Xenopus tropicalis: one gene and its partner. The protein of the gene in region 1 purifies or fractionates together with the protein of each later gene. This does not show direct contact. Links are inferred from orthologs where the notes say so. Each region holds a gene or a part of one and is shown in the gene's direction. Other genes may lie near its edges.

Region 1 (11,396 bases):
GACAATCTGCCCGCAGAGCCCAGCTTTTACACCACCTGACGGAACTATGTATACGTTGCCATCATTTGATCTCTTGGGGTCTAAATGTATGAGCTGCCCATTGCTCCTGCTGATACAGTCATACTCCCACAGTTGGTATCGCAGACTTTTTCCTTGCTTGGCCACAAGATATATTTCCTGAATGTTAAGGTCCTCTAGGGAAGGAGAATCAGAAGAAGGGTAACACAGACCAGGGATATCAGGGTCAGGACTGAAGGAACCACACCTTACCCCAAATAAAACACCTAAAAGAGAAAGGAAAATATTTACAATATAATAGCCAAAGTCTAAAGAGATCTAGCCTAAATGTTTCTTCCTATAAGATGCACAATCAATAGATATTAGAGCAAAAAACTACCTAAGGTCAACTCCAATATGAGATATATAGCAAAAATAAGTGTACAATAATACCTTTCACACTGCCACACTCACTTACACCTTTATAATAATAATACAAACTATTTTTTTATGCAAGCGTTAAGGCCAAGGGCACGTTTGGTGGATTATCAACTTTCTCAGCTTGCATTTTATATGCATGTAGAGAAATGTGTATCCACTCCAACCTTTCTTTCATTTCTTCCTTATCCATTCTTACGTTTCAAATGTACCCTAACCTTTTTGATTGTAAGCTCTTGCAAGTAGGGCCCTATGATCATATTCTTATTTTGCAACCCTCCTTCATTAGATTATTGTAAGACTCCTGTTTGTTATAAATTAATGTGAAGTGCTGTGCAACTTGCAAGCCCAATATAAATAAATGATGATAATGAATAAGCAGCACCAAAGTATTTTTGTATGCATAAATTTGGAAAATGCAGCATCACTGAGGAAGTCACAGTGTAATTTTAAGTACCTGAGATAACTGCCCAGTGAGCCCGGTGACCCTCCCTCTGGCATGGCTCATGGTTAAAGTCTTCATCATATCTATCCAAGCAGTTAAGGTTGTCTTACAGCCTAGCTCTTATCTATGTCGAAGTTATATAAATATATAAAACTGTACAATATAATGGCAGTGTGGTCTACACAGAGCAATGCTGCCACCTGGTGGCGAGTAAAGGAAACAAAATACTTTGTTAAAGGAACAGTAACACCAAAAAATGTATATATTTTTAAGAAATGAAACTATAATGTACTGCTGCCCTGCACTGGTAAAAGTTTTGTGTTTGCTTCAGAAACATTACTAGAGTTTATACAAACCCTGCTGTGTAGCCATGGGGGCAGCCATTCAAAAGAAGAAAAGGCACAGGTTATATAGCAGCTTACAGATAAACCCTGTAGAATACAATGGTGTCTTATCTGTTATCTGCTATGTAACCTGTGCCTTTTCTCCTTTTTTCCAGCTTCAATGGCTGCCCCACGGCTACACAGCAGCTTATTTATATAAACTATAGTAGTGTTCCTGAAGCAAACACCCCAGTTTTACCAGTGCAGGACCACAGTACGTTATATTTCAATTACTTTAAAACACTTTCATTTTTTGGTGTTACTGTTCCTTTAAAACAAAGATTCACAATGGGCTTATTTATTCATTTTTGAATAAACTCGCATATGGAATGCTCGCTTATGTTTTAATAAGAAAAACTTGTCCAAATAAAAAAAGCTTGAATACCCCAAATCTTTCAAGTTTACAAAGTCAAAAAACTAAAAATTTTCAAATTTGCAAATATAGCTTGACTTTGTCTAGGACAACTCCCATTGACTTCTACAAAAAACTCACAAGCTTTTAGGTGGTGAAATTTTACATTTAAAGTTTCAAGTTTTTTGCACTTAATAAATACCAGACATTTGAAGTTTTGGACTAAAACTGGAATTATATTAGTTTTACCGCTGTAAAAACTCAAATTGCAAAAAAAATCGAAAATATCAATATACATGCAAGTTGTTAGGCTGCATTGATTAAAGGCCACACTTTAGCTGATCCCTCTAACCACCCAATTTTTCTCAATGTCTCATGGGTGATTTGTGGTGGTGGGGAGCACCTAGGACATATTTTACACAAACCATGCCTTGTAATTCTGCCAGACAGAGAAAAGCTGTAGCTGCACTCTCCATATATTGTTACTGCAAAAGGATACGGGATGAGCACAGGCAACCCTGAAGTCAGCTGCTGCAAAATTTTGCCTTTATTCTCTCCATCCATTCCACCTGTAAGTAGCTCAGACCGACAGCCAAACACTTCCTTTGCCAGGACAGCCATGTTGGCAGCTATGGGAAACATAATTACATTTATTTACATGAATAAGAAGGTTAATCAATTACATTCCCAATAGGACTTGTGTGCAGAGAGTGTGTTTGTAGGTGAGGCCTCAGTAACTCCTGTAGCCAGCAAAACTTCACTGGAACATCACTCACCTGAAAACATCTCCCCCTGAGCTGTGTACCCTCTAGAAACAGCAGCCTCTACAATGGTTTGCAGTGGTGCTTCATGTGCCAGGTTCAGTAATTTCCCTGCCATCCACAGAGCCACCAGCCCACACCTGTTGTGGACAGAAAAAGTAGCATGTATGATGGACAATGCTTTAATACAGGGAAAAAAACACCAAAGCACCATGTCATATGTACGCACTTACTGAGGTCCTTCTTGTATCAAGGATGGTACATACTGGTTATAAAGCAGCCATTTTAACTCCCCATTAAATCTGTCAAAGAAACACACAACATCTATTGTCACAAAATGTACTGACCTCATAAACATGCCATTGTTTTGGTACACTTTAAACCTAGCAACTTCACCTACAAAGAAAATGTCAATTTAAAGAACAAGAAAAACCTATGTCTCTGGGGGTGAAAAGTATTATAAGCATCCCCCAGTAGGCATCTGCTACTTTATTTCAGAAGTCAGAACCAGACACTATAAACAGCACAATAGCTACCGATTTCAATAGCAATTACATTTACAAACAGCTTGAACACCAGTGGAAGTTTGGAATTCATTTTGTTTAGAACTGCATATTCTTTTACTGTGCTAAAAAAAGTGTATTTGGGTGGGCATCCCATTTAATATTGGTTGTATTATAATTTATATGGAGGGTTTTCTGGCTACCATAATTTAACAATTTAATTTGCTGTATCTGGCCAATCATATTCAAATGCTAGGAATGGAGCCCTAATACATTGTTGTAACTGGATGTATAGCTTCTTATGATTTACTAAAGTGCAGGGGCAGGCCCAGACTGGCAATTTGTGGATTCTGCCAAATGCCAGAGGGGCTGCTGTAAGATGCCATAGACAGTTGCTATTTATTGGACTGGTGGGGGGCTGTTTGGGCCTCTGTGTACTTGAAATGCCGCTGCCTATTTTGAAACCTAGTCCAGACCTGTGCAGTGGTTAGTAGACTTAAGTATGTTACATTTTTAAGCACCTCTTAATTTCCTATTACACTTGGACCTGGATTTTGCTTACCTGCTCTGTCTATTTTTGATCATCTTTTTTAACTCTTCACAGCCTCCAGTTGATGGGTCACTGTTTTCAGCTACTTTTTTAAAGAACTTGCACTTCGCCACAGTTGGTGGTAGTAGATGAATCTGTGGTGGTGGAGGCAATGGAGGTGGTGGATCCAGAATGACCCCTGCTTGTTGAGCAGTTGGGTCTTCATTGGTATGTGGCATAGGTCCTGTAAAAACATTTCACATATCATAAATCATTTCCCACATTGTTTATTTAGCAGTGATACAATGACTGTATTCTTTTATAACAGGTGTTAACATATATTTCTCAATTATCCTGTTTTGCAAGAAGTTGTATGTTCTCCTTGTCTGTGTAGGTTTCCTCCCACACTCGAATATACACACAGGTTAACTGGCTCCTGATAAAACTGGTCCTGCTGTGTGTGAATTGTTAGCTTCACTGTGGCAGGAACTAATGTGGTGATGTATAATCTCTGTAAAGGGATGGTGCTATATAAATAATAATAATGACCAGAAAACTGAAGCTGACTCCAGATACTTTACTACTCATAACCAGACTACTACACTGGCAATTAGTACAGGGAAGAGCAGTCTGGAGTCTGTGGGTTCCTCAAGCATTATTATATAGTATACTTTGCAATATATAGGCAAAGACTATATAGCCCACATTCTATTAGTATGTGATATTTAGGCCTCAGTAGTGGATATCAAAATATTGTCACCAGAACTATGGCAAATATACAATTCCAAGCAAATATCTTGCAAGGAGGATTCTGAGCTTTGCAGTTCAAGTAGCAAATTCAGTCTCTATACCTGCCCCTGCAAATTGTGCTATGAACACCTTTTTGCAGCCTTTGGACAGAACTGGGGTGCAAAATGCAAGCTATTGCAGTGACCCATTGCCCCTGGTCTGGTTACTGTAAAAATAGATCTTGACCTTGCTAAATTCTCTACTCTGACCCTGAACTGTGGGTGTCACTTCCTAGCAATTCAAAGCAACAGGTCATTGTATCAACTCCCCAAGGAAGTCCTAACTGAAAATCTATTTTATTACAGGCGCATTAAACAGATCATTTTAATACAAATTTGGGGTTCTAAAAAGACTTGACTTTGGGTCCCTGTAATTCTAGTAATGCCATTGCACGGAGATGAAATTGTGTTGCTACTGGGAGGGATTGTGTGAGAGATTAAACATTTTCCGAGACGCTGAGGAATATGTCGTTTCTAAACCTTACATTGCAGATTTAGCTACAGGTTGTAAACAAGATCTGACACCGTACTTTATAGCATGTTGGTGAAAAAAACTACCAGATCCGGCTTCAGTTCGGAAACATTCTTTGACCACGTGTGTACTAAACCATATATGTATCCCCTTGTTCATCTGTACAGGTTAATTTATTCATTTTAATTGCCAACGATAGTATCTTGAAAACTATCACCTAAGCTATAAACGCCATGAAATCATATTCACGAACACCTACAACAATAGCAAAACAATATAGTCACGTATGCCGCAGGAGTCCGTTTCCTGTTTCCGGGAGGAATATATTAGCAGCTGCACCGCGTTCTACGCCTCGGCCTCCGATTTCATTGGTCGCGCGGCTTGCTTTGGGTTATTGCTATAGGGTGAAATGGCTTTCACTTATGGCTTGCAGCCAATCGATGAAGATTTGGGTAGGTCACCAATGATATACCTGCAAGACGTCGAGAGTTGCTGTAGCAACGCGGCCTAAGTTAGACGTAAATTGGGCGTTGAATGAATTTAGGTACAAGGCCTTCCGGTGGCGGCAATCTCAGTTAATCACATTGGGTTTTAGTGCATGCGACTTGCGTTGCTATCTTGAAATATTTCCTGCTATTGTACGTTCCATCCGGGAAGTTTATTTCTTTTCCAGCGTACCGTATTCGTATCGTAGCACAAGCCCAGCGTTTAATTTGGCGGCCCTTTTAACTGTATCATATCCAGGCTGAGGGTAAGTATGCTTCCGTCCCGTTCATTGTTATATCTTCCCGCTTCCTAGCTGTGCCACAACAACTACGGGCCTCTCACAATCAGGTCCCGGCTGTGATATTTCAACTTTAATGTTACCCTGTGTTCTTTGCATGGCTGTGTCAGGGGCTGTGTAGTTTTGTTATGATCTGGGTGTTGATAATACTAATAATACTATGTTACTACTATATGGCTCGCAAAGGAAAATATATTGTAGACCTTAGTTTGCACAAGTAAATAAGTCTGCGTGTAGTATAGGCACTGGTATATTATATGCACACTCTGCTCATACATAACTGGGCTTATGTACAGACTATACCAGGGCATTGTTCTATTTTAAGATGCAATTAACCCTTTTTTTCTCCCTTCAGATTAAGTTGTTGAGGAAGTATGGCTGTTCAAGAAGTCAGGCCTAATAACACAATCTACATCAACAACCTGAATGAGAAAATTAAAAAAGATGGTGAGTTAAGGCTGTAGCAATCCCTGGAGCGCAACCTAAATCTCTGTACCAGTGTTTACATTACTGCAATTTAGTGCTATTTAGAATTACTTGGTCTTTGAAAATCCAAAGATTTGACTTTTGCTTTCTTCTCTTTAGAGCTAAAGAAGTCTCTTTATGCCATATTCTCACAGTTTGGTCAGATTCTGGATATCTTGGTGTCTCGCAGCCTGAAGATGAGAGGACAGGCTTTTGTTATATTTAAAGAAATAAGCAGTGCCACAAATGCTCTGAGGTCAATGCAGGGGTTTCCCTTTTATGATAAACCAATGGTTAGTATTTATTGTAGTTTTTTTCCCATTTTTCATTTACTTTACTTCAAAGTGTTCTTTTAGGATAAGTCTATGGTTATAGAGACATGAATGATATCTGACACTTTATGGAAAAATGGTCAGTGACAGTGGAATGACCCATATATTTATATGAAAGGACATGGGTGTATATACCATCTTACTGGCAGATTAAAGGACTAGAAACAATTTTCCAAATCCCCCTGCCTATAAAGTAAACATACCTTTGTACGTGCATATTTGGGGTGTATGCTAATTTTCATTGAGGGGTTGAGAAGAAACTATGCACTCCCATATTGAAAAGGATATTGTACATAAGTTAATAACATCTTCAATAACCATCCTTCATAATATTTTTACAGGGCTCCTGGGTTAATACTTGTGAATGTGTGGGAGTTTACATCTGCTTAGGTAGTTTGCATGGATAGCTGTGCACATTGTTGCTAAAGGAATCCCACACCCAGTGCAATTAAATATATGGCTTGTTTGTTTATCTGTGCTCATTATTTCTTTAGAAAAAAAGAACTATAAAGCCAAGTTGGGTAGGGTGGTGGTGGATACATTCTGTTCAGTTTCCATACAGTATCTCCTCCCATTCCATTAAAACTTGGTTATTTTAGTCTTTATGCTGATTTTGCTTTTACTCCAGAGAATACAATATTCAAAATCCGATTCTGACATCATTGCCAAAATGAAAGGTACCTATGTGGAAAGAGACAGAAAGAGGCAGGAGAAGAGGAAGGTGAAAGGCCAGGAAGCTCCGGGTGTTAAAAAGGCTTTACCAGGTGCTGCGTTGCTTCCAGGCGTTCCAGGACAGATGGCGGTAAATACATACAATTTTTTTTTTTTCTTGAAAGAAACCCGTTATGTTGTGCACAGCCATAATTTTATTTATTTTTTAGGGCATGCAAAATATACCTGGTATGACTCAAGCTCCACGCATGATGCATATGGCTGGGCAGGCACCCTACATGCATCACCCTGGTATGATGCCACCACCAGGGATGGCACCAGGACAGATCCCACCAGGAGGCATGCCCCATGGACACCTGATGCCTGGGCAGATGGCACCCATGCAGCCAGTAAGTTAGACTACATCACCAGATCTGTCTGTGGGTGATAGTCTCGCTAGCTTTTATAAAGAGTACCTGATGTCTGCTAGCTTAACTATTCTTTGCAGCTTTCGGGGGAGGGGGTGCGGTGCTTAAAGGAGACATATTGGATAAATGGGGAAAACCCTAATATTGTAGGCAATTATGAATAATATATGGTGCTGGTTTCCCTTTGTGCTTAAAATTAATCCAATCTGTAAAAATGGCCCCTTTATTGGAGCTCCCTATAGATCCTCTCTTCTGACCATGTTTAAAATGAAGAGTGGGCGTTTCCTAATGGTCCCTGCCAGAAGCACAACTTTTTTAAGCGCAATCCTTCTATATCTAGAGGAGTAAAATTCACTGGTACATTCATTATTTTTATAGGATACATCTCCTTTAATATACTGGCAACTCCCAATAAACCTGGTGTCTTTCAAGAGCTGTCCACAGAAACTGCCTGTGTCTGAGTTTTTCAGTCATAACTTTGAATGCTGTTTTTTATTTTTTTTTAGATTTCTGAAAACCCACCTAACCACATCCTCTTCCTCACCAACCTTCCAGAGGAAACAAATGAGCTAATGCTATCTATGCTGTTTAACCAGTAAGTATTGCACAAAATATAACTGTTGTACACTGTCGTAGTTGCATAAAAACACCCTTGTCATATTTCAGTATTGCAGGGCAAAATTATGGAGTGGAAATTGTCCACAAAAAACCTTAATAAAAATATAACTTAGAACCTACAGAATAGCCGGTCTTTTCCAAGTCTGGCATGTTTTGCTTTTGCCCTTACTGTAACTATTTGGCTAGCATCCTGCCTATAGTGAGCAATTGGCTGTAGTTTTGTAGTTAACCAATTGTATTGTAAGTAATGCTTACACTGGAGACCTTGTTTCACATACAGGTCCTTTTCAAAAAATTAGCATATTGTGATAAAGTTCATTATTTTCTGTAATGTACTGATAAACATTAGACTTTCATATATTTTAGATTCATTACACACAACTGAAGTAGTTCAAGCCTTTTCTTGTTTTAATATTGATGATTGTGGCATACAGCTCATGAAAACCCAAAATTCCTATCTCAAAAAATTAGCATATCATGAAAAGGTTCTCTAAACGAGCTATTAACCTAATCATCTGAATCAACAAATTAACTCTAAAAACCTGCAAAAGATTCCTGAGGTTTTTAAAAACTCCCAGCCTGGTTCATTACTCAAAACCGCAATCATGGGTAAGACTGCCGACCTGACTGCTGTCCAGAAGGCCATCATTGACACCCTCAAGCAAGAGGGTAAGACACAGAAAGAAATTTCTGAACGAATAGGCTGTTCCCAGAGTGCTGTATCAAGGCACCTCAGTGGGAAGTCTGTGGGAAGGAAAAAGTGTGGCAGAAAACGCTGCACAACGAGAAGAGGTGACTGGGCCCTGAGGAAGATTGTGGAGAAGGACCGATTCCTGACCTTGGGGGACCTGCGGAAGCAGTGGACTGAGTCTGGAGTAGAAACATCCAGAGCCACCGTGTACAGGCGCGTGCAGGAAATGGGCTACAGGTGCCGCATTCCCCAGGTCAAGCCACTTTTGAACCAGAAACAGCGGCAGAAGCGCCTGACCTGGGCTACAGAGAAGCAGCACTGGACTGTTGCTCAGTGGTCCAAAGTATGTCATTCGGAAATCAAGGTGCCAGAGTCTGGAGGAAGACTGGGGAGAGGGAAATGCCAAAATGCCTGAAGTCCAGTGTCAAGTACCCACAGTCAGTGATGGTCTGGGGTGCCATGTCAGCTGCTGGTGTTGGTCCACTGTGTTTTATCAAGGGCAGGGTCAATGCAGCTAGCTATCAGGAGATTTTGGAGCACTTCATGCTTCCATCTGCTGAAAAGCTTTATGGAGATGAAGATTTCATTTTTCAGCACGACCTGGCACCTGCTCACAGTGCCAAAACCACTGGTAAATGGTTTACTGACCATGGTATTACTGTGCTCAATTGGCCTGCCAACTCTCCTGACCTGAACCCCATAGAGAATCTGTGGGATATTGTGAAGAGAAAGTTGAGAGACACAAGACCCAACACTCTGGATGAGCTTAAGGCCGCTATTGAAGCATCCTGGGCCTCCATAACACCTGAGCAGTGCCACAGGCTGATTGCCTCCATGCCACGCCACATTGAAGCAGTCATTTCTGCAAAAGGATTCCCGACCAAGTATTGAGTGCATAACTGAACATAATTATTTGAAGGTTGACTTTTTTTGTATTAAAAACACTTTTCTTTTATTGGTCGGATGAAATATGCTAATTTTTTGAGATAGGAATTTTGGGTTTTCATGAGCTGTATGCCACAATCATCAATATTAAAACAAGAAAAGGCTTGAACTACTTCAGTTGTGTGTAATGAATCTAAAATATATGAAAGTCTAATGTTTATCAGTACATTACAGAAAATAATGAACTTTATCACAATATGCTAATTTTTTGAAAAGGACCTGTACATTATAGGATGTTATCCAAAAACTTGTTGTTCAGAAAGCTCAGAATTATGGGAAGGGAATCTTCAATAGACTGTTTTAATTAAATTACATTTTAAAATTTTTTTACTTTTTTTATTTAGTAGACTTAAAGTATGCAGATATAAATTACAGAGACCCATAATCTGGAAAACCCCAGGTCCTAAGTATGCTGGATAGTCGATCTTAAATCTTTGCTGATATTTAAGTACTGCAACTATAATTATTCTAAGTCAGTGCTGTCCAACTTCTGCGGTGCCGAGGGCCGGAATTTCTATAGCATACATGGTGGAGGGCCGCTAATGGAAGCCAGTTTTGACCACTCCCCTTTTTGAAACCACACCTATTTTATCACAATGGTGGTAGCACAGCAAAATCCCAAATGCTTGGTGCTTACTGTGGGGATATCAACCATCATTCATATGTGAAAGAATTATGTCATATTAAGATATACCCTTAAATTCCATATGCCTCCTCCTCCCCTGTGGATAGCAGAGCAACCCCCAGTACATAATTACACACCTTAGGGACCATTTAATAGCTATTTCCAACTGCTAACAAACTCCCACAAACCCCTGCCAGGTTCACCTCCCACAAGCAGCATAGGGCAAGCAGAGTATGCTGTCTGTGTGTGCCATACTCTGCCTGCCCTACCCTGCCTGTGTGTGTCATACTCTGCCTGCCCTACCCTTCCTGTGTGTGCCATACTCTGCCTACCCTGCCTGTGTGTGCCGTACTCTACCTGCCCTATGCTGCCTGTGTGTGCCATACTCTGCCTGCCCTACCCTTCCTGTGTGTGCCATACCCTCCCTGCCCTATGCTGCCTGTGTGTGCCATACTCTGCCTGCCCTATGATGGCTGTATGTGCCATGCTCTGCCTGCCCTACCCTGCCTGTGTGTACCATACCCTCCCTGCCCTATGCTGTCTGTGTGTGCCATACTCTGCCTACCCTATGCTCCCTGTGTGTGCCATACTCTGCCTGCCCTACCCTGCCTATGTGTACCATACCCTCCCTGCCCTATGCTCCCTGTGTGTGCCATACACACAGGCAGCATAGTCCAGGCAGTACCTACATAGGTACTGTAGGTACCTGAGGTGTGAAGAAGTGAACCTCAGTGAGCCTGAGGTGTGAACACTGCAGGGGGTGAACAATGCAGGAATTAAAAGGTGTGAAAAACACAGGGGATTACATTTTTAAACAATACAGGGGGATTACAGCCTGAATCTGAGGTGAGAACCATGCAGGGGGGGCAGTTAATCTCAGTACTGATACCATTTAAAGCTTACTCAAAGGTAAGCCATCAAAGCAGCCAGACAGGTGGGGGGCCACACAAAGGGGGGTCCAGTTGGACAGCACTGTTCTAAGTAATGCAGATTGTAGACACCCTACAATTGTATTTTCTTTTTTTTTTCCATTGGATAAGGACAGTGTCCAATAGATAAAGAAATAGCATAGTGACTTGCCAAGCAGTCCTTTTAAAGCTTCCAATGCTGTAATATCGTCTCACATAGGTCCAAAGAGAGGGTTCTTGCATCTCAATAGAAACTTGCAAATTGTGTGTTGTACATACAT
Region 2 (10,934 bases), on another chromosome or scaffold:
CAAGGTCATCCTGGACGACCTGTTGGTGAAGGCCCCCTCGGTGCTAGCAGCCAACCATCACCTCTCGATTCTGATCCAGTCACTGTCAAGTCTGGGATGGCTGATCAACTACCAAAAGTCAGTCCTCACACCAGCGCAGAGTGTGGAGTACCTGGGACTCACCCTGAATACTGCCGCAAGGAGAGTTTTCCTTCCTCCGGACAGAGTAGCCACCCTGTGCAGAAGGATCTCCACAATTCAACAAGCGGACAGCCTACCCTTACGCATCTGCATGCAGACCCTAGGCACAATGGTCTCAGCATTTCCAGCGCTGCCATACGCGCAACTGCACACCAGACCACTCCAGAGACTAATCATCCTACAACAGAGGAGGGACCGACAAAACCTGGACAGAGTAATATCAGTCCCACCACAGGTCAAGGCATCTCTCTCCTGGTGGCAACACCCACCCAGACTACAGTTAGGGAGCCCCTTCCCAAGTCACGAGTGGACAGTGGTGACAACGGACGCCAGCCTACAGGGCTGGGGAGGAGTCCTGGCAAGCAGAACGGTCCAGGGACGTTGGAAAAGGGAAGAACGCTCCCTCCCCATCAACATCCTAGAACTCCGCGCAGTCTTCCTCTCACTGGCTCACTGGACAAATCTCCTAAGAGGCCACCCGATAAGAGTACAAACAGACAATCAGACAGCAGTGGCCTACATCAACCATCAGGGAGGAACACGCAGCCAAAGAGCACTAGCAGAGGCACAAAGGATCCTACTATGGGCCGAACAGAATGTCCCTGCAATCTCCGCGGTCCACATTCCGGGAGTAGAGAACTGGACAGCAGATTTCCTGAGTCGTCAAACTCTAGACCAGGGAGAGTGGAGCCTCCACCCAGAGGCCTTTCAGGAAATCGTGGCAAGATGGGGCCTACCAGAAGTAGACCTCATGGCATCACGATACAACCGCAAGTTACCTCGATTCATAGCAAGAAGCAGGGACCCATCAGCACTGGCAGTAGATGCACTGGTAGTTCCGTGGCAGTTCGAGCTGGTATACGTGTTCCCACCCCTGGCCCTTCTGCCCCGAGTCATAAAGAAAATAAGAAGAGAGGGCATCAGCACCATCCTGGTGGCCCCCTACTGGCCACGCCGACCATGGTTCACAGACGTGATAGAACTCTCCGCAGACGAACCGCTCCCCCTTCCAGCCAGGGAGGATCTCCTGACGCAGGGTCCATGCGTCCACCCGAATTTACAGTCGCTGGCTTTAACGGCGTGGCTCTTGAGGCCCTAGTTTTAGCCAGGACAGGAGTGCCACGCGAAGCCATACCAACCATGCTGCGAGCAAGAAAGGCAGTCTCAGCCCGCATTTACCACAGGATTTGGAAAGCATTCATCACGTGGTGTGAGACCAACAGCAGGGACCCACAGGTCCTGGAAGAGGGCAACCTTCTAATATTCCTTCAGGAGGGACTCCACAAAGGGCTCGCCCTCAGCTCCTTGAAGGTACAGGTGTCAGCACTGTCCGTACTTTACCAACAACAGCTGGCCTTACGACCGAACATAAGAACCTTCCTACAGGGTGCCCTGCGGATCGCCCCTCCGTACAGACACCCCATCCCACCATGGGACCTAAATCTGGTGCTGTCGGCACTACAGGAGGATCCATTCGAACCTCTGGACTCCATCCCTCTTTCAACACTGACAGCCAAGACCGTTTTTCTACTGGCAATCACATCGGCCAGAAGAGTGTCGGAACTTTCAGCCCTGTCTCACAAGTCCCCGTTCACCATCTTCCATGCTGACAAGGTGGTCTTGCGACCAACACCGGAATTCCTGCCGAAGGTGGTTTCGGAATTCCACCTTAACCAAGACCTTGTGGTACCTTCCCTATGCCCTAATCCCAAAAGCCATCAGGAGGAGAAACTTCACACCCTAGACGTGGTACGCTCGCTTAGGACTTACATAGAGGCAACGAAAAAGGTTAGAAAGGTGGACACCCTCTTCATTATACCGGAAGGCCCCAGAAAGGGTCTAAAGGCCTCCAAGACCACCTTAGCAAAATGGATTAGGGCTACCATCCTTAGAGGATACGCAACCAGAGGAAGACCACCACCCTTCCAGGTCCGGGCTCATTCTACACGATCATTAAGCACTTCGTGGGCCATGAGAAATCAGGCCTCCGCTGAACAGGTATGCAGGGCTGCGGTGTGGTCTTCCTTACATACTTTCTCGAAGTTCTACAAGATTCACACATACTCCTCTGCCGAAGCTAGCTTCGGGAGGAAGGTGTTAGACAGTTATTCCTTGAACCACCAAGAGTTCATTGGATGTCCCACCCTCATGGGAATCTTTGGGACGTCCCCATGGTGCCTGTGTTCCCCAATGTAGGCAAGAGAAAGAGAGATTTTTGTACTTACCGTTAAATCTTTTTCTCTTGTCCTACGATTGGGGAACACAGGCCTTCCCTCCCTATGTTAATACGAGTTACTACAGTTCAAGGGTTACAGTTTTGAGTTATATCCAGTTAATCATTCTGGTTGGGGGTCTCCCGGGGGAGCTCCTTCTCCTAAGAGTGGGTTACAATTCTCGGCTAGGTCCTTTTCCTTCCTTCTTCGGTAAAAAACAAACTGGCAAGTAGAGGAAGTAGGCGGGGGACGAAGCCCTGAGCAGGAGGAGGAGCTACTTTAACCTTTTAGTGTCCATTCTCCAAGCTGCAGGATCTTCATCCCCATGGTGCCTGTGTTCCCCAATCGTAGGACAAGAGAAAAAGATTTAACGGTAAGTACAAAAATCTCTCTTTCAATTCAGAACTTCTTAGATGTCACTGCACTTTTCACATTCCCCCTCTTTCCTTACCATCTAATTTTGTAACCAGTGCATGGATATAGGTATCAGCCCCCCCCCCCATTCTGGCACATACACAAGATTTTGGCAGGATGCACAGCTTGCTTTAATAACAGTGTCCACAAAATGGAGCCTGCCTGTTTTCTGCAATGATGAATTCCAGTGGTGAAGGAAATAAGTTTCAAAAAATGTATGTAGTGTAATTCAAGTTTATTTTGCTTGACAAACACAATATAAAACAATTTGTAATTATTTCTTAGGGTGACAGGTCCCCTTTAAGCTTGATGAAGACTTTATTCTCAATATGTAATGCCTAACATTTAAAAAGAAAATGTTATAATAGCGAGGGAGAAAATGACTGTTTCAGGCAGTCTAAAAGAGTCTTGGTGAACAGAAATCATATAATAAAAAATGTGTGTTAAATTAAAGTTTGTCTTTTATTTAAGTTTTTGGGACCTTTTGGGCTCCTACCACCAATGTTCCCTCTAATTCCTTCTTGGATGTGTGTAAAAAAAATATTTTGCACACATATTTTAAACCTGTGTGCACATCTTTTTAAAACTGAATATTCTGGTAAGAGTAAATACAAAATTTTGTGTTTTTGCACAGAATTCTTAGTGCGCACCACACAGCTTTAGAGTAGGGGTCACTGACCTTCTTCTTTGTGTACCACACAGATTTGGTGGAATTTACAGATGAAGAGGGCTATGGCAGATATATGGATCTCCATGACTGCTACCTGAAATATATTAACCTCAAATCTTCAGAGGTAAGAATTCAATGCAAATCACTTTTCTGCATTTCGCAACAAAATACTTAAGTAATAGTCTGTATATAAAAATGCGCCATTCTTAGGATATAATTTTTGCTTTACTTGTACCATGACTTTATAAGATTGTTCTTGGCCTAAAATGATATATTTGTTTGAGAACAACGTGACTGAATGAAAACGGCTTGATATACTTTTTAGTCAATGACTGCATTAACATACTACCTTTCATCAACCCCACTCCCTTGAACTATTTGTTCACATCTATTCTGTATGACACACCACATAAAACTGGTGATGAAGATGAATAGTACTAGATCATTCAGTGCAATGCTACTTTAACAAACATACACTGTTATGCGATTCAGTTACGTGTAGTAAGTGTATTGTTGAATATTCAGTGTATGTGTTCCCTGTGTATTAGATGTTGGTGCACTAGTCATTTTTTTTCCATTGTATTCTGTGTTTGGAAATGGCCCTGATGCTATTCTAATATATAGGGAAAGTTGTGCTCACCAATTTTATAAACCATTAGGCAGGGGTGTAATGATGCTGTGACCAAAACATTCATACTGACAAAAACAAAAGGTCCACTGCACTTACCAATTTTATATATATTATAACATTCTGCTAATTAAGCTACTGAAAAAAAGCCCTGCCCTTTAGACAACAGGGATTGTTTTTCCATATGTTGCAATATATTTCAAGCTGGCCAACTATGGCCAACAAAATTCATTTAGACAAAAACAAAAGGTCCCCTGCACTAACCTATTATCAATATATAGGACATTAAGATTAAGACATTCTGTGCATTAAGCTACCAAGAAATATATGGAATCTTTCCATACTTTGGTTCACCACACCAAGTCTGTTAAAAACATAATTTAAACATTAAATAAAGGCAATAGAATTGTTTTGCCACCAGTAAGGATTAATTATCTTACCATCAAGTATAATGCACTGTTTAATTATTACAGAGAGAAAGGAAATCATGTTTAAAAATTAGACTCCATTATAAAAAAAATTGTGTGTGTGATGGACTTCCTGTATTTCAAAACTTTCTGGATCCCATACTTGTGTGTATGTATATATGATATAGCTTGTTTGCATGCTGTATATAGCAAAATTTGTATTGTGTTTTATGTTTGTTTGTTTGTTTTCTTTCTTCAGAAATTAGATTATATCACATACCTTGCAACCTTTGACCAGCTTTTTGACATTCCAAAAGAGAGGAAAAATGCAGAATACAAAAGGTTTGTACTTAAAAATAAGTGATAATGTGTATCTATTGGTCAAAATACATTCTAGCCTATACTGGTGTAAACCTAAACTTCTTAGAAAGACATACACATTTAAATAGTAGCTATACCTAAAATATATCTAAAATACTCATTATCGGTGGGTTAATGGGTCTGACAACATTTAGATCTGTCTGTATATTTTATAAGTTTACAAAATAGTTGTTAGGGATGCAACTTTGCATTGAGTTCTGGTCACAAGGTTTTTGAAAAACATATAATATTAGAGCTTTGAGAACAGGGTTGATTTCTTCCAACAAGCTCATGTTACATGGATTTCAAAATGTTGTATTCACTGCAGCTTGGAAATTTGTACTTTTGCTCCAATTCTTTTATCTATATAATAGACTAAATCCCTGTTGCCACAATTACTCCACAGGTATTTGGAAGTACTTCTTGAATATCTTCAAGACTATACAGATCGGGTGAAGCCTTTACAGGATCAGAATGAGCTCTTTGGGAAAATACAGATTGAGTTTGAGAAGAAGTGGGAGGCTGGTGCATTTCCTGGCTGGCCGGTAAACTTGTCATTGTAGTGCCATAGTAGTGTTTAAAAAAAAAATTGCTAATTTTATAGTGTATATTTTGTAAAGTAACCTCCAATTTTCATGAATCGACCTTGGGGTGGAGGTTCTTATAGACCTAGACCCTTAGTTCAAAATTAGGTAATATTAAAGGGGATGTCCACCCAAAATTGTTTTGTGTTATTAAAAAAAAAAAAAAATATCTCTAACTCTTATATACATTTATTGAAAGTTTGTCAGTGGCTTTAAGGTTATTTGTAAATGTAATGTATTATTTATTTAACCAGTAGCTGTATTTAATTTCTGAACTGCTGGTTATGACTCTTGAATCAAAATAGCAAAAAAGATTTGTATTTAATGTGAAATAGGAATTACATTTTTCTTGCCATTTATGGGTGAATAATTATTTGCTTGAATGTTTTACGCACTGTATCTAGGTTAAAGTAACAAGCATATTTTCATCAAGCTGTAATATTAACAGAAGCTTAAGCAAATGTTATACATAAAATATGAGGGAATAACCCCAAGTCTGAGCACATGAGTGTGCATATATTCTAGATGTTATTAATATACAGGAGTATTTCTATGTTAAAAATATAAGAAGAGCCTTGTGGTAATGATAATGTTGCTGTTTTTAGAAAGAGACAAGCAGCGCACTCACTCATGCTGGCGCTCACCTGGACCTGTCAGCCTTCTCTTCTTGGGAGGTAAGTATTTGAAAGCCCTCTCATCTTTCCCACAATATTAAAGAGAATGGGTGTAGAGAAACATCCATAGTGAAGATTTGTGGAATATCTCTATGACGTGTACAATTTTTTTTCAGTTGGTTTCTAGCAGCAAAAACAATTACACTGCTTGTAAAAACACTATTATGGATTTTTTTGTAGATGGCATTTTACTTGCTGAAGTCTGCAAACAATGTATTTTCAACCTTGTGCTATTTTTAGGGATGTGTTTATTTCAACACAAATCGTTGTAGTAGTTTAAGCATGGAGACATTACTTCTGATGTTAAAATGTGTGGAGACATCAGCCCTTGTCTTTTATTATGGAAGAATAAGTCATTAACTGCTTTGTGAGGAATTTTCACTTATACTTCAAATAATGGTGTACTAGCTAGTAGCTAGAGGGTTGTATCTCCAAAGCATTGTTTTTATAAAGGAAATATAAGATGTTTCATAGGATATGTGTATAAAACATTTTTACAGGTGCGTATTTAAAGGAAAAGTAACACAAAATTTTCAAGTAAAAAATCTATTCTACCCTGCCCCAATAATCGAGCCTAGCCTGACTCCTTCCTATACAGAAGGAAGGCTAGGATCGATCAATCAATTGTCGCATAGTGGATTCTTCCCTGCATCTCCGTATCTCCCTATTTCAAATGACTGGAAGCCAAGTTTTAGCAGATATTTTATAATAAATTCAAAATAATAAATGGTGTGCAGGATAAGGTAATTATTGGGGCAGGGTAGAATAGATTTTTTTACTTAAAGGAAAGGTAACACTAAATTTTTTTTAAGACATTTTAATTAACATGAGCTTTTTACAGCAGACACAGATCTCTTTTTTTGGGAGAAGATGTTCATAATTGGGTTTTTGTAGCTTTATCCAAGTCATATTGCAACAAACTTGTTTGAAATTATTTTTCTTGTTGCAGGAGTTGGCCTCTCTTGGTCTTGACAGATTAAAATCTGCACTGATGGCTTTAGGCCTTAAATGTGGAGGGTAAGTGAGCTTGCAGTTATAGATAATGCAGACAGAATTTTTTTCTGCTGTAGCATAAACATATTGGTGTTGACTTTCACGTTTAAATAAATTGAATTTATATTGCATGTGCATTCAGTAGATTGTTTGCCTTTGATTCCTGTTGTATAACAAAATGGCGGTTTGCCATTTTAGTATCACACAATGCATTATATTGTTTAAATATGTAAGTGAACATGTATCAAATTGTTTTGCATTCACAGTTTAAAATAAAAGGGCATAACTTAAAACAGATTCTCTATATAATCATAAAGACTTATGTTAAGTCTACGTTTAAGGAGTTTATTTATTGTTCTGTCTTTCTAGGACATTGGAAGAAAGAGCACAAAGACTTTTCAGCACAAAAGGCAAATCTTTGGAGTCTCTGGATCCATCTTTGTTTGCAAAAAATCCTAAAGCGAAAGGAACTCGCAGGTAAGGGGGCCAATAAATGATTGTACTCCACTGCAGTCAGATTGCAGCTGTTTTAAAACAATTATGTATAAATGTAGTTTGCAGTTCTACTCTCATGATGTCTTCAGTGAGAGCTGAAACCTCATTTTTAGCTTTGTGTTTACAATCTGTTGATGATGAGAGGATAAAAGAGGGATCATGGAGCAGAGAAGGCCATTTAGTAAGGTGTGTAAATGATAGTACATTTTTTTTTTTTTATCTTTATATGGAAGGGGAAGAGGAAGCGGGATTGTAACTCTCACGACCTGTCGTCTGGTTATTTAGTTCACCTAGAAGAGAAGCTTCTGCCCACCATTTAGTGTATTGGAAGAGGGCTAGTACTTTATGCTGTTTTCGGCTGTTCGATGTATCTTAAGTATTTATTCCAGACATGGTAGAAATGTTAGCCTTTCTTGGAGTGCTAAGACCCATTGAAGTTGCATTGTGTATAGTAGTTTGCGTTCCCACAGTTGTTTTGAAGGAGGTTATGTGGTCATTCAGCATTCTAGGATAGAATTATTGCTTTCAAGACCAGTATTTCTGCTAGTCATAAAGATCAACAGTCAAAAGATAACCTTTTTTTGCTGCTGTCTGTGCATTTAGGGTATAACCCTAGTAGTATCTGTGGATTTGTATGAGAAATGGGGATATTGCACAGTGTGCTTACTTGTGTTAAGACATTTCCCCCAAAAGGCATCTAATGCGGTACAAGGCCACAAAACTTATTACGTAGGTTGTAATGTATCATTGGTTTTATGATGGTAGAAACCCCCTGATGCAAAGAGGAGTCACCCTTTATTAACCCTTATTAGTATATCTAGGGGGTTATGAGACAGTTGTGGTTTTATACTTTGTCACCAAATTTACATAGCCTTTAATCTTTAGCTATGCAAAGATATTATTGGGGAGTCACTGTTTTGTTTGCAGTTCTAAGAATGTATAAGGATTTAGTAATAATCCTACCATTGCCTTTTGCGATTCCACAGATCAAATTGGGAATCTGTTTCCCCTCTTTGAAATCGAGGGTTGTTAAATAGTAGAAAAAGTGACTGTTTATAGGTACAGAAAAGTTGTATTCGCTTCAACCGTGTAGCAGGGAATGTCGTAAGTATAATAGGGGAGATCTTTGGTGTGAAATATTGATCTCTTTGGGTGAATGACACAGGTACATACACAAACATGCAATTTGCAGCTATACGTATAAGACTTGCTAAGTTGTACTATTTGAGCAGTGGTAAGTGATTTCAGTAGGCATTACTTACAATTAGAGGATAATATATGCATTTCATTGCACAGTAATCTGTTTAATAAAATGTTGCATTTTTTCATACAGAGACACAGAGAAAAACAAAGACATTGCATTCCTTGAAGCTCAGGTGTATGAATATGTTGAAATTCTAGGGGTAAGTAACCATAATGAATAATACTGTATGTACAATGATCCTTAGATTCTTGCACACAGTATTGTCTGTGTCTATTTCCAAGCTCCCCTCTAAATCCAAGTTGTTTGTTTTGTTGGCTTGTTTTTCGACTGCCTGGTGATCAGTGCTATTTATTTAACTGTTTGGCCTATGTAGTCAGAAAAGTTTTTCCATAAAATAGAATGAAATTAAAAAGAGGTAAAATGGACACTTGCCTTATCAAAAGTAATTTTCAAAATGGGGGAGACTTATTTATCAATGTTGATTTAGGCTTAAACTTTTGCTGTTATTTATTAGTCTATAACCATGCATACTTTCTTGGTTTTCAGGAACAGAGACATCTGACCCATGAGAATGTACAGCGTAAACAAGCCCGTACAGGTGAGGAGAGGGAAGAAGAAGAAGAAGAACAGATCAGTGAGAGTGAGAGTGATGATGAGGATAATGAGATTATTTACAACCCTAAAAACCTTCCTCTTGGATGGGATGGCAAGGTAAGCATGGTGTTAAGGGTGACCATGTTATGCAACTTAGATTGCATTGGGCAAAGGGTCTCTTTGTACATATTCATATTTTTATGTCCTGTGGTCCTTTTTTTTTGTTTTTTTTGAGGGGGGGGTGAGTTTTGTAACCTGAAAGGTTTCCAGTATGAGCGACCTACCAATTTTTATTAATAGTTCGTTTGATGCCTAGGTGACCTTAATCCATATGTTTGGAACAGGAGTAGGGATAGGTACATCTGACTGAAAAAAGGAAATACAACATTAAAACTCTTTGATGGATTTGGATTTGAACCGCTATATTTGTTTTATCCAAGGCATTTCCTATAGATACTGCTGAAACTGCCACACTAGTCATTTAAAAAAAAGAAAAACCTAGAAAAGAATGTAATTAGAATGCATTTGTAAAAATAAAATTAGATTAGTTAGATGTTGAAAAAAATGTTAGATTAGATGTTAGATTAAAATTGTTACATTACCCTTACCTTGGATTTTGCCAGTTGCACCAATTTGTTGGCCTTACTTGTTACTGTACACTTATGGAAATGCAGTGCAAAAGTAGTCCATATGGGTGGAGTTGGCTGAGTTGCAGTTAGTCAGGCATGGACTTGGGGGAAGTTAACACAGTTCAAACATGTTTTTAATCTGTGCCCATGTTCTGCCAGCAGGCCATAATTCTGTCCTCCACAATAGAAAAGAATACTACCTGCAGATTTAGCATTAGAGATAGCTGGGTAGCTAGCACTGTGTAATGTTTATTTTACAGTATTAAAAAAAAGAAATTGACTCAAGTAGTTGTTGCTCATATATTCATATTTTTGCAGCCTATACCTTATTGGTTATACAAGCTACATGGCCTGAATATCAACTACAACTGTGAGATTTGCGGAAACTTCACCTACAGAGGGCCCAAAGCTTTCCAGAGGCATTTTGCGGTGAGGTGTTTTTTTTTTTTTTTTTTTTTTTTCTGCGTGTTAGTGGTTGTTACAAAACTGTATAGATTGTTTATTACTATGTACCTCACATGTGGGATGACTGCCGCTTCTATATAGTACTCGTCACAGGTTTGCAGTGTAAAGGCTTTCTAAAACATAGGGCATTTACATGCCTCAGTTATATATATTGTAAGCTCTACGGGGCAGGGACCTCCATCCTCTTGTGTCTTTAACTCTCTTTAACTTATTGCAACTGTATTTATCTTGTATTTATCTGTATATGTTATACTTTGTATTTATCTATTATTATCTTAATAATCCCCTGTTTGTATTAATGTATTCTACTGTACAGCGCTGCGTACATAAGTAGCTCTTTATAAATAAAGATATACATACATACATACACATAGCACTGCTTTATAACCAAAAATAGTTACCCCTCACTTAATGAATTGTGGGA

Evidence for each region. Proteins that work in one complex are often made in the same cells at the same time.
Region 2: the proteins of snrpa (region 1) and sf3a3 fractionate together in Homo sapiens (co-fractionation; 4 studies listed by BioGRID and IntAct, with this or other methods). This does not show direct contact. The link is inferred for Xenopus tropicalis from reciprocal best matches to the Homo sapiens genes SNRPA and SF3A3.

What each region holds. Positions count from the first base shown.
Region 1 is NC_030684.2:78,494,341-78,505,736, forward strand, and holds the start of snrpa (U1 small nuclear ribonucleoprotein A), read left to right. Parts: upstream 1-5,185; 5' UTR 5,186-5,419; intron 5,420-5,480; exon of another isoform or gene 5,481-5,502; intron 5,503-5,807; 5' UTR 5,808-5,826; coding exon 5,827-5,899; intron 5,900-6,037; coding exon 6,038-6,210; intron 6,211-6,877; coding exon 6,878-7,051; intron 7,052-7,130; coding exon 7,131-7,310; intron 7,311-7,834; coding exon 7,835-7,923; intron 7,924-11,396. Other genes in the region: UPF0692 protein C19orf54 homolog, read right to left, coding at 1-284, 893-963, 2,115-2,244, 2,392-2,516, 2,610-2,678, 3,442-3,652, 4,755-4,827. UniProt on the Homo sapiens protein: Component of the spliceosomal U1 snRNP, which is essential for recognition of the pre-mRNA 5' splice-site and the subsequent assembly of the spliceosome. U1 snRNP is the first snRNP to interact with pre-mRNA.
Region 2 is NC_030678.2:83,817,539-83,828,472, reverse strand, and holds part of sf3a3 (splicing factor 3A subunit 3), read left to right. Parts: intron 1-3,509; coding exon 3,510-3,601; intron 3,602-4,771; coding exon 4,772-4,854; intron 4,855-5,278; coding exon 5,279-5,417; intron 5,418-6,061; coding exon 6,062-6,130; intron 6,131-7,079; coding exon 7,080-7,147; intron 7,148-7,492; coding exon 7,493-7,600; intron 7,601-8,951; coding exon 8,952-9,021; intron 9,022-9,368; coding exon 9,369-9,533; intron 9,534-10,363; coding exon 10,364-10,474; intron 10,475-10,934. UniProt on the Homo sapiens protein: Component of the 17S U2 SnRNP complex of the spliceosome, a large ribonucleoprotein complex that removes introns from transcribed pre-mRNAs.